Ovis aries: one gene and its partner. The protein of the gene in region 1 interacts with the protein of each later gene in a biochemical or structural test. Links are inferred from orthologs where the notes say so. Each region holds a gene or a part of one and is shown in the gene's direction. Other genes may lie near its edges.

Evidence for each region. The genes of interacting proteins can lie anywhere in the genome.
Region 2: the proteins of MATK (region 1) and SIRPA form a complex in vitro, tested with the Homo sapiens proteins (3 studies listed by BioGRID, with this or other methods). The link is inferred for Ovis aries from reciprocal best matches to the Homo sapiens genes MATK and SIRPA.

The regions. Positions count from the first base shown.
Region 1 is NC_056058.1:17,991,765-17,995,991, forward strand, and holds the start of MATK (megakaryocyte-associated tyrosine-protein kinase), read left to right. Parts: upstream 1-1,424; 5' UTR 1,425-1,551; intron 1,552-1,988; 5' UTR 1,989-2,083; coding exon 2,084-2,089; intron 2,090-2,694; exon of another isoform or gene 2,695-2,776; coding exon 2,777-2,836; intron 2,837-3,214; coding exon 3,215-3,328; intron 3,329-3,415; coding exon 3,416-3,531; intron 3,532-3,619; coding exon 3,620-3,839; intron 3,840-4,227.
Region 2 is NC_056066.1:52,923,736-52,927,250, reverse strand, and holds part of SIRPA (tyrosine-protein phosphatase non-receptor type substrate 1), read left to right. Parts: coding exon 1-256; intron 257-2,026; coding exon 2,027-2,140; intron 2,141-3,515. UniProt on the Homo sapiens protein: Immunoglobulin-like cell surface receptor for CD47. Acts as docking protein and induces translocation of PTPN6, PTPN11 and other binding partners from the cytosol to the plasma membrane.

The DNA.
Region 1 (4,227 bases):
AGCCCAGAGAGCCGGATGAGCAGGAAACCTCCCGGCAAACACTGCCAGTATTAGTACATTACACCACCACAGAGAAAGACGCCCCCTCTCTTGCTCCCCTCCTGCCTGTTTCCTTCACTGGGAATAACCTTTTGCAGGTTCAAGGGGCCCCTGCTGGACTGTTCCCCTTGGACACGCTGCTTCCTGTACAACCTGTATGGGATCACACAGTGTGTTTTCTATCACATTCTGGTAAGTGGTGGTTGTTTCTGACAACTAGAGACTTTAGCATTTTCTTATACACAGTTTCCTAGTTTTTGGTGCATAATATTGCACGATATTGAATATCTTTAATTCTTGTCTTGCACTTAGCTGCTCGTCGTATCCAACTCTTTGCCACCCCATGAACTGTAGCCCATCAGGCTCCTCTGTCCGTGGGATTTTTCAGGCAAGAATACTGGAGGGGGTTGCTATTTCTTCCTCCAGGGAATCTTCCTGACCCAGGTATTGAACCCACTTCTCCTGTGTCTCCCGCTTTGCAGGCAGATTATTTATCCTCTGAGCCACTGGGGAAGCCCCTGATTCTTCTCATTGGTCTCTATTCCCAGAAATCACACGACATCTTGGTGCACAGACACTTAGACTTTGGGGGTACCAGAAAATTAAATTCTGGGCATCTTGGTGCATCACCCTCCCAAGGTCAGCTTCATCCTTGTCCTCACAGACTCATTCATTCATCCATTAGAAAGTATTTGAAGTGAGCTCACAGAGGAAAGGCAAGGGCTGGGCCCCCAGGCCTTCAGATGCTCACGGAACTCCCTTCTGAGCTGGAAGCTGGTGCTGCCTGACCCTACAGAGGAGGAAACCGAGGCTCGAGCTGGGTTGGCCTTGGGGAGGCCCAGTGTTGCTCTGCCAGGAGGCTTCCAGTTCCAGGTGATGTTTTCCCCTTTAGTCTCAATTCTCCCTTAATTTCAAGGATGATGATAATATTCATGGTGGTTGACATTTTGAGGGCTTTCTTTGTGCCAGGCACCAACAGCTCTTTCCTAGGGCCAGGTACTGAAATAAGACTCTTGTTATAGTTGGCTAAGGGCGTTGGAGTCAGAAGGGTCCACTGAGTTGTCTGGACTCTGAGACTTACTTACCTGCCCAGACGGGAAGCTCTCTCCTTCCCCTCCCTGTGCCAGCGCTGTCCTCTCTCCGGGAGGCGTGGATTCCCGGAACGCGCGGGTTGCGCGCCCCGCGGCGCCAGGCCGGGAAGTGGCGTGGATCTCGACAGCGCCGCGCGGGAGGCGCCGGGGGCCCCGGAGGCGGGGCGGGGAGGGGCCGCCGGTGGCGGCGGCGCGCGGAGCAGACCGCAGTGCGGCCGGCGCTAGGACCCGCGGGGGCCGCTCAAGCTGCCGCGCCTCCCGCTCCCCCCACCCCGATTCCAGCCCTTCCCCCCCAAAATGAGGAAACGCAGCAACTTGCTCCAAGTTGTGCAGCCGGGGCCGCCTCGGGGTGCGCAGCCGGCGCGCGGGGGCCCTCCTGGGGGCGGACACGGAGTGCGGCCCAGGGGCGACCCCTGAACAGGTGAGGGCGCCGGAGGGGATAGTGGGGAAAGACCGTAGGACAGTGGGGGGGGCCCCAAGGGCCAGCGGGTAGGGGGATGCTGGGCGAACGAGGGAGGGGCCAGTGTGCGAGCGCCCGCGTCCGGGGCGTGCGGCCGGTACGCGGCTGGGGCGGGTATGGTTGGATGCGCCCAGGAGTCGGGTGGGGTGGTATTTTTGTGGGTGCGGGTATGCGCGTCTGCAACCCCTGGGTGTGTGTATCCGCGCGTCCACGTGGAGGGATGTGCGCGCGTGTCTCTGCGCTGCGTGTGCGCGGCCCTGCGTGTAGCCCTGCGTGCCCGGGTGGCCCAGCGTGTGGCGCCCAGGTGTTCAAGTGTGGGTTGGGGGGGGCGGCACACACGTTTCCGAATGTCTGTGCGTGTGTTCACACGTGAGACGTGTGTGCACAACTGTCTCTAGGAGAAACTGCTTTTGCTTGCATACCCGCGTGCCTGTGTCCACCTGTGTCCAAGCCCTGTGTGTTTCTGTGTGTTCTCGTGTGTACATGGATCAGTATGCGTGTGAGTACACAGAGGGCTGGGGATTTCTAGGGTGGAGACTCACTCCTCCCCACCTGTCCCACTGCTCTCGCCACCTGGTGGGATCCGTGGGGAAAGCAGAGGACAGAAATGCCCCCACCCCAGCAACTGTGCGGGACTTTGTTTCTGTCCTCTGTCCTCGGTTGGGGAGTAGGGGGGAGCGGTGTGGGGGGGAGTCAGATCAGAGACCCAGCCGGCAGCCAGAGGAGCCCAGCAGGGCGGCACTGCCGGGCCTCACCCCCGCCAGGGTCAGAGATTCTTGGGAATGACCTTGAATCATCCTCTGTTTCCTCATGTACCCCTGCCTACTTTACCAGAAAAGAGGAAGAACCAGGCTCCGTTTAGTGGCTCCAAGCGCCCCCAGTGTGGGCTGCTGGGGCCTGAGCCAGCCCCTGGCCACTCACTCTGAGCCTGCCCTGTGCCTCTGTTTCCCTTTGGGGATGACGGCGCAGCCAGGCTCCATGCTAAGGAACTCTCCCAGGGAAAGACCACCTCCCCTAAGGGGCTTGGGGATCCAGCCCTTGGGCCCCCCACAACCCCTGGGGGTTTGGGGGAGCCCGCCCGACTGTCGCCTCCACCTGGTCCAGGCTGGAAGCTATAGTCATGGCCCCTGGGCCCCCAGCCTGGCTTGAATCTTGAGCTCTCCAGCTGGTCTCTGCCCCTCCCCAGGGAAGCCCTCGCTTCCTCCACGCCTGGCACCCCTCACCCATCTCAGCCAGGATGCCGACAGTGAGTACTCCCAACTGGGTGCCTGGGCCTAGGCCCCTCCTCTCCTCCGTCCACAGGGCCTCAGCTCCACGGGGCTGGAGGGTGGGGGTGGGGGGCCATCTGACCCGTGTCCCCTTAGGCAGTGTCCGCAGGTCTTTTTCGGTCACTTGGTGTTTTTTCCCACTCTTTCCTCCCATCTTCTGCCCCGGGGGGTCCCTCTGTTTGTGACTCCGTTTCCCCTACTGGGTGCTCTGCGCACCCCCCACCCCCATCTCCTTTCTCCTGTGGTCTGTTCTGGGTCTCTGCCTCAATACAGTTTTTCTCTCTCTTTTGGGCCCCACCCCCCACCTCCACCATCTCTCTCATGACCCTTTTCCCACTCTCGCCACTACCCCCCAGAGGCGCTGGGCCCCTGGCACCCAGTGCATCACCAAGTGTGAGCACACGCGCCCCAAACCCGGGGAGCTGGCCTTCTGCAAGGGCGACGTGGTCACCATCCTTGAGGCCTGCGAAGTGAGTAGGGGGGAATGTGCTTGGAGAGAGGGGGGTGCTCCTCCAGGAAACATCTCCTCCCACTGACCCCTGGCTCCCTCCCGGCAGAACAAGAGCTGGTACCGTGCCAAGCACCACGCCAGCGGGCAGGAGGGGCTGCTGGCGGCTGGGGCGCTGCGGGAGCGCGAGGCCCTCTCGGCGGACCCCAAGCTCAGCCTCATGCCGTATGTCGTGGGGAAGCGCCCCTGGGACGTGGGTGGGGTCAGCAGGGCCCGGCCAGTCCCACCCAGCCCGCCCTTCCACCGGCCGCAGGTGGTTCCACGGGAAGATCTCGGGCCAGGAGGCGGTGCAGCAGCTGCAGCCGCCCGAGGACGGGCTGTTCTTGGTGCGGGAGTCCGCGCGGCACCCGGGTGACTACGTGCTGTGCGTGAGCTTCGGCAGCGACGTCATCCACTACCGCGTGCTGCACCGCGACGGCCGCCTGACCATCGACGAGGAGGCCTGCTTCTGCAACCTCATGGCTATGGTGGAGGTGCGGCCGCCCAGGCCTCCGGTGTAGAGATGTTGGCGGCCAGGCTTCAGCCTGTCCCAGCAGCTGGGGAGACATGGGACCCCCCCAGAGGCTCATGCTCCCCAGTGTGGACAAGGAGGCGCTGGTCCCTGGACCACCGACCACAGTTCCCCCACTCCGACCCATCTCCAGGGATACCCAGGAACCTCCAGTTTGACACCAGTCCCAAGACACACACCCCCATCCTCCTGTTTCCATGGAAACCAGCCTAGAGAGTCCTGTGGGAACCCACCCCCTCTCTTCCTCTTCAGCGCCCGCCCACCCCTCTGGAGAACCCCCTGGGAAGGGGATGGGAGGCAGGGGCTCCCCGGATGTGGGGGGTCACACTCACGGCTGCCTCTGCCCTGCC
Region 2 (3,515 bases), on another chromosome or scaffold:
TTCTACCCCCGGCCTCTACAGCTGACCTGGCTGGAGAACGGAAACATGTCCCGAACAGAAGCGGCCTCAATCCTCGTAGAGAACAAGGACGGGACCTTTAACCAGACGAGCTGGCTCCTGGTGAACTCCTCTGCCCACAGGGAGGCTGTGGTGCTCACCTGCCAGGTGGAGCATGACGGGCAGCCGGCGGTCTCCAAAAACCATACCCTGGAAGTCTCTGCTCCCCAGAAGGACCAGGACACAGGTCAAACCCCTGGTGAGGTCACCACTGCAACTGACCCAGCTGTTAATCTTTTTTTTTAAATATTAAAGGTAGTAATTCATACTTTTTATAGAACAATGTAGAAGTCAATAGATATAAAATAGAACTTTAAAGTGAATTCCCACCTCCAAGAGTGACCACTGGTAAGAGTGTGGCATATTCTTTATAGATCTTTTGACATAAATATCCTTGAAAGAAAGAAAGCAGGGAAGGAGAGGGATTGTCCTGCTCGTGGTGTACTCTCACTTTCTTCTACTAACAGCTTCTGTGTTCACCATTCTCTGCCCGCCCACCTCCTCCACCTTGCTCTTTGTGAACTGAGCCTGCTCTCCCTGGCTGCCCCACTGGAATCGGGTTGGGGGCTCCAGGCGTCTGCGGCTTATCTCAAGTGTGATCAGTGCTGCACTAACTGCCCTTGTACACATTCTGTTACATGCGCAGCTATTTCTATGGGACGATTCCCAGGGAATGTTGCTAGGCCCAAGTGCCTAGATGATGGTGATGCTGCCACCCTCCTGGGAGAATGAAAGGTGTCAGGGTGTCATTGTCTCAGCCCCCGTCCAACTGGTTGTCGGCATATCTCCCTTTCTTCAGAATGACAGTGCCTGGTTGGCATTTTGGTGCCACTGTGGAATGTTCCATCACCTGTACCCTTGTACATAGCAAACCCTTTCAATGGATTAGAATAGAGGCCGTTTCCTTCCTTCGTGCATCCTGAAAGGGACAGCTCTAAAGAAGCCTTGGGGTCTGTCAAGTTGCCCTTTGATGCCACCATGAGCCCTGCCCTGGGAGACAGGATGTGTGGATCCACTCTGGCTGTCCGTCTCACTGGGGAGCTTGAACAAGTCGGTGCCTGTCTCTAGGCTGCTCCACCTGCCCCTGGCAGTGTTGAAGGAGGTGACCCTGGTGACCTCTCAGCTTTGAGTCTCAGCTGCTGGGACCATGGCTGTCTCAGCATTGTGGCTTCAGGACTGGGTAGGTAGTTGACACCCAAGAAATACTTTTAGAAAGGGTGAAAGAGTGAGTAGTTGGTTGATTAGTGAGGTGTTCCTCAGAGCTATTCAATGAAGTAGAGATGACTATTGGCCTCAATAACGTAAGAGGAAGCCAGTGCATGAGGGGATTTAAATGACCTGCTCAAGGTCGCTCAGTGAGGGCACTGATTTGAACCTGCATTTCTGTGGCTCAGAGCCCTGCTCCTGACTGCACACTGTCCTCCTGCGGGATCCCCTCCCTGTGCCTGGTGCCAGCCCCTGCACTGTCTCCATGTCAGGTGTCCTGGGCTCAGCCCTCCTGGGCCTAGGCCCAGGCATGGACCAGCACACTGCCTCGGGGCTCTGCATGTCCAGTGGCAGGTCACCCTCCTCACAACCCTTCCCTCTGTGGTGTGTGATGCCCCAGCTGCCATTAGGAGATCCAGGCAGACCTGTGTCCCCAGGTGGCCGCTCCATGGCTCACTCAGGTGAGGAGGAACGTATGTCTATTCCTCAGGAGGGCAATTCCACCCACACCCTGCAGCCGGGGTTCCTCCAAGGCTGACAGCAATGTTTCCCTCCTGGCACCTCGGCACAGATTTTGCGCTGCCTGTGGGTAACCCACAAGGGGAAGTGTGTGCAGATCCATGGACATGCCCACGGGGCCGAAACATCTGAGCCAGATATTCTCAGTTAATGATGCCTGCCTCGTGGTGAAAAGGGGAAGTGGCTTTTCCTTTTCTTTGTTTTAAATTTTCCTACATGAAACCTCTATTGTGTGTGGTCCTAGGCCAGAATGGCAACAACTGGAACGGCATCTTCATCGTGGTGGGCGTGGTGTGTGCCTTGCTGGTGGCCCTGCTGATCGCAGCCCTCTACCTCCTCCGAATCAGACAGAAGAAAGGTGGGTGGGTCCCCTGGTTCCTCCCTGAGAGTTTACCCCTGGGCTGTCCGTCCCAGACAGGGAGGGGTCTCTGCTTTGGGCTACACGTAGTTTAAATCATAAGGACGTCCAGTTACTCCCAGCAACAAGAAGTCCAGGGGTACCATTGCCTTGGCTGTGCAGCCCCTCCACAGGCTGAAATCTGGGTGGGCCCCCTACCCTGCAGCATCACTGCTCCAGGCCTCGCAGTCTCACAGAACCACTGCTGATATGGGAATCCGGGAGATGCCAGGGTGGCAAAAGGGTCTCAAGGAGGAAACGGTACTTCCCAGGAGCCCCTGGCAGACTTCTGCTTTCCCCTTACCTGTCCAGATTACGTGCCCAGCCCGCTGGCAGGAGGCTGGAAGGGAGTGGGGAGAACACCACCACCTACCTCCCAGGCTGTTGGGAGAATTAAATGAGTAACTGTGGGTACAGCAGTAGCAAGATGCCCGGCACAATAGCAAGTTCTCGATGTTAGCTCCTGTAATGAGTATTGTACGTGAGACCGGAAGCATGAACCACCTCCCTGGAAAGCTCCCCTCATAGTGGCAAGGTGTGTGGCCTTTGACTGCAGCAGGAGGGTAGAAGTTTCAATCCAGGACATTGTGACCTGTTTGCACTCATGCGTGCATGTGTGTGTATGTGTGTGTATGTGTGTGTATGTGTGTGTATGTGTGTGTCTGTGTAGTTGTTTCTGTCGCTGGGCCTCTTGACTTTGGAGTCAGATGAACCAGAATTCCAGATCCTTGTTTTATGCTCTAAACAATCAGTTTGGCCTCCATAAGCCTCAGTTTCCTCACCTGTAAAATGGACGTGGCAGTGCCTGCCTCGGAAGATAGTTATGAAACAAATAAGCTCATGGGCAACAACAGCGCTGACACACTGTCAGACCTAAAAAAATGCATGTCCTCTTTCCCACTCTTGAAGACTATTTTAAGCCAGTGTTTCTGAAACCTTTTTGGCTACAAGTGATAGAAATACATTTCATGTCTCAACCCGATGCACACACACCCCATCTATAAAATCGGAAGTCTGATATTTTCCTTTTTGTCATATTTTGTACTATATCCTCTTAAAAATGCTGTTTGTGACCCAGCACCACGTGCCGCAGCCGGCAGAGTGCCAAATGCCGTCCCGAGCTGCATTTCTGCACCCGGACCTCCAGGCAGAGCTTGACGGGCTTTATGTGCCTCAGCCACACACCCCTCCTGCACCCCCTCTCCTCTGGCCCCCAAGTTTCCCTCCCCGCTGGACGGCCTGGAGCACTCAGCCCTGAGACACTGCCTGAACCTCAAACTCCCATCTGAGAGGGCTGGCATCTCTAGAATCTACAAAGGGTTCTTCCAGGTGATCT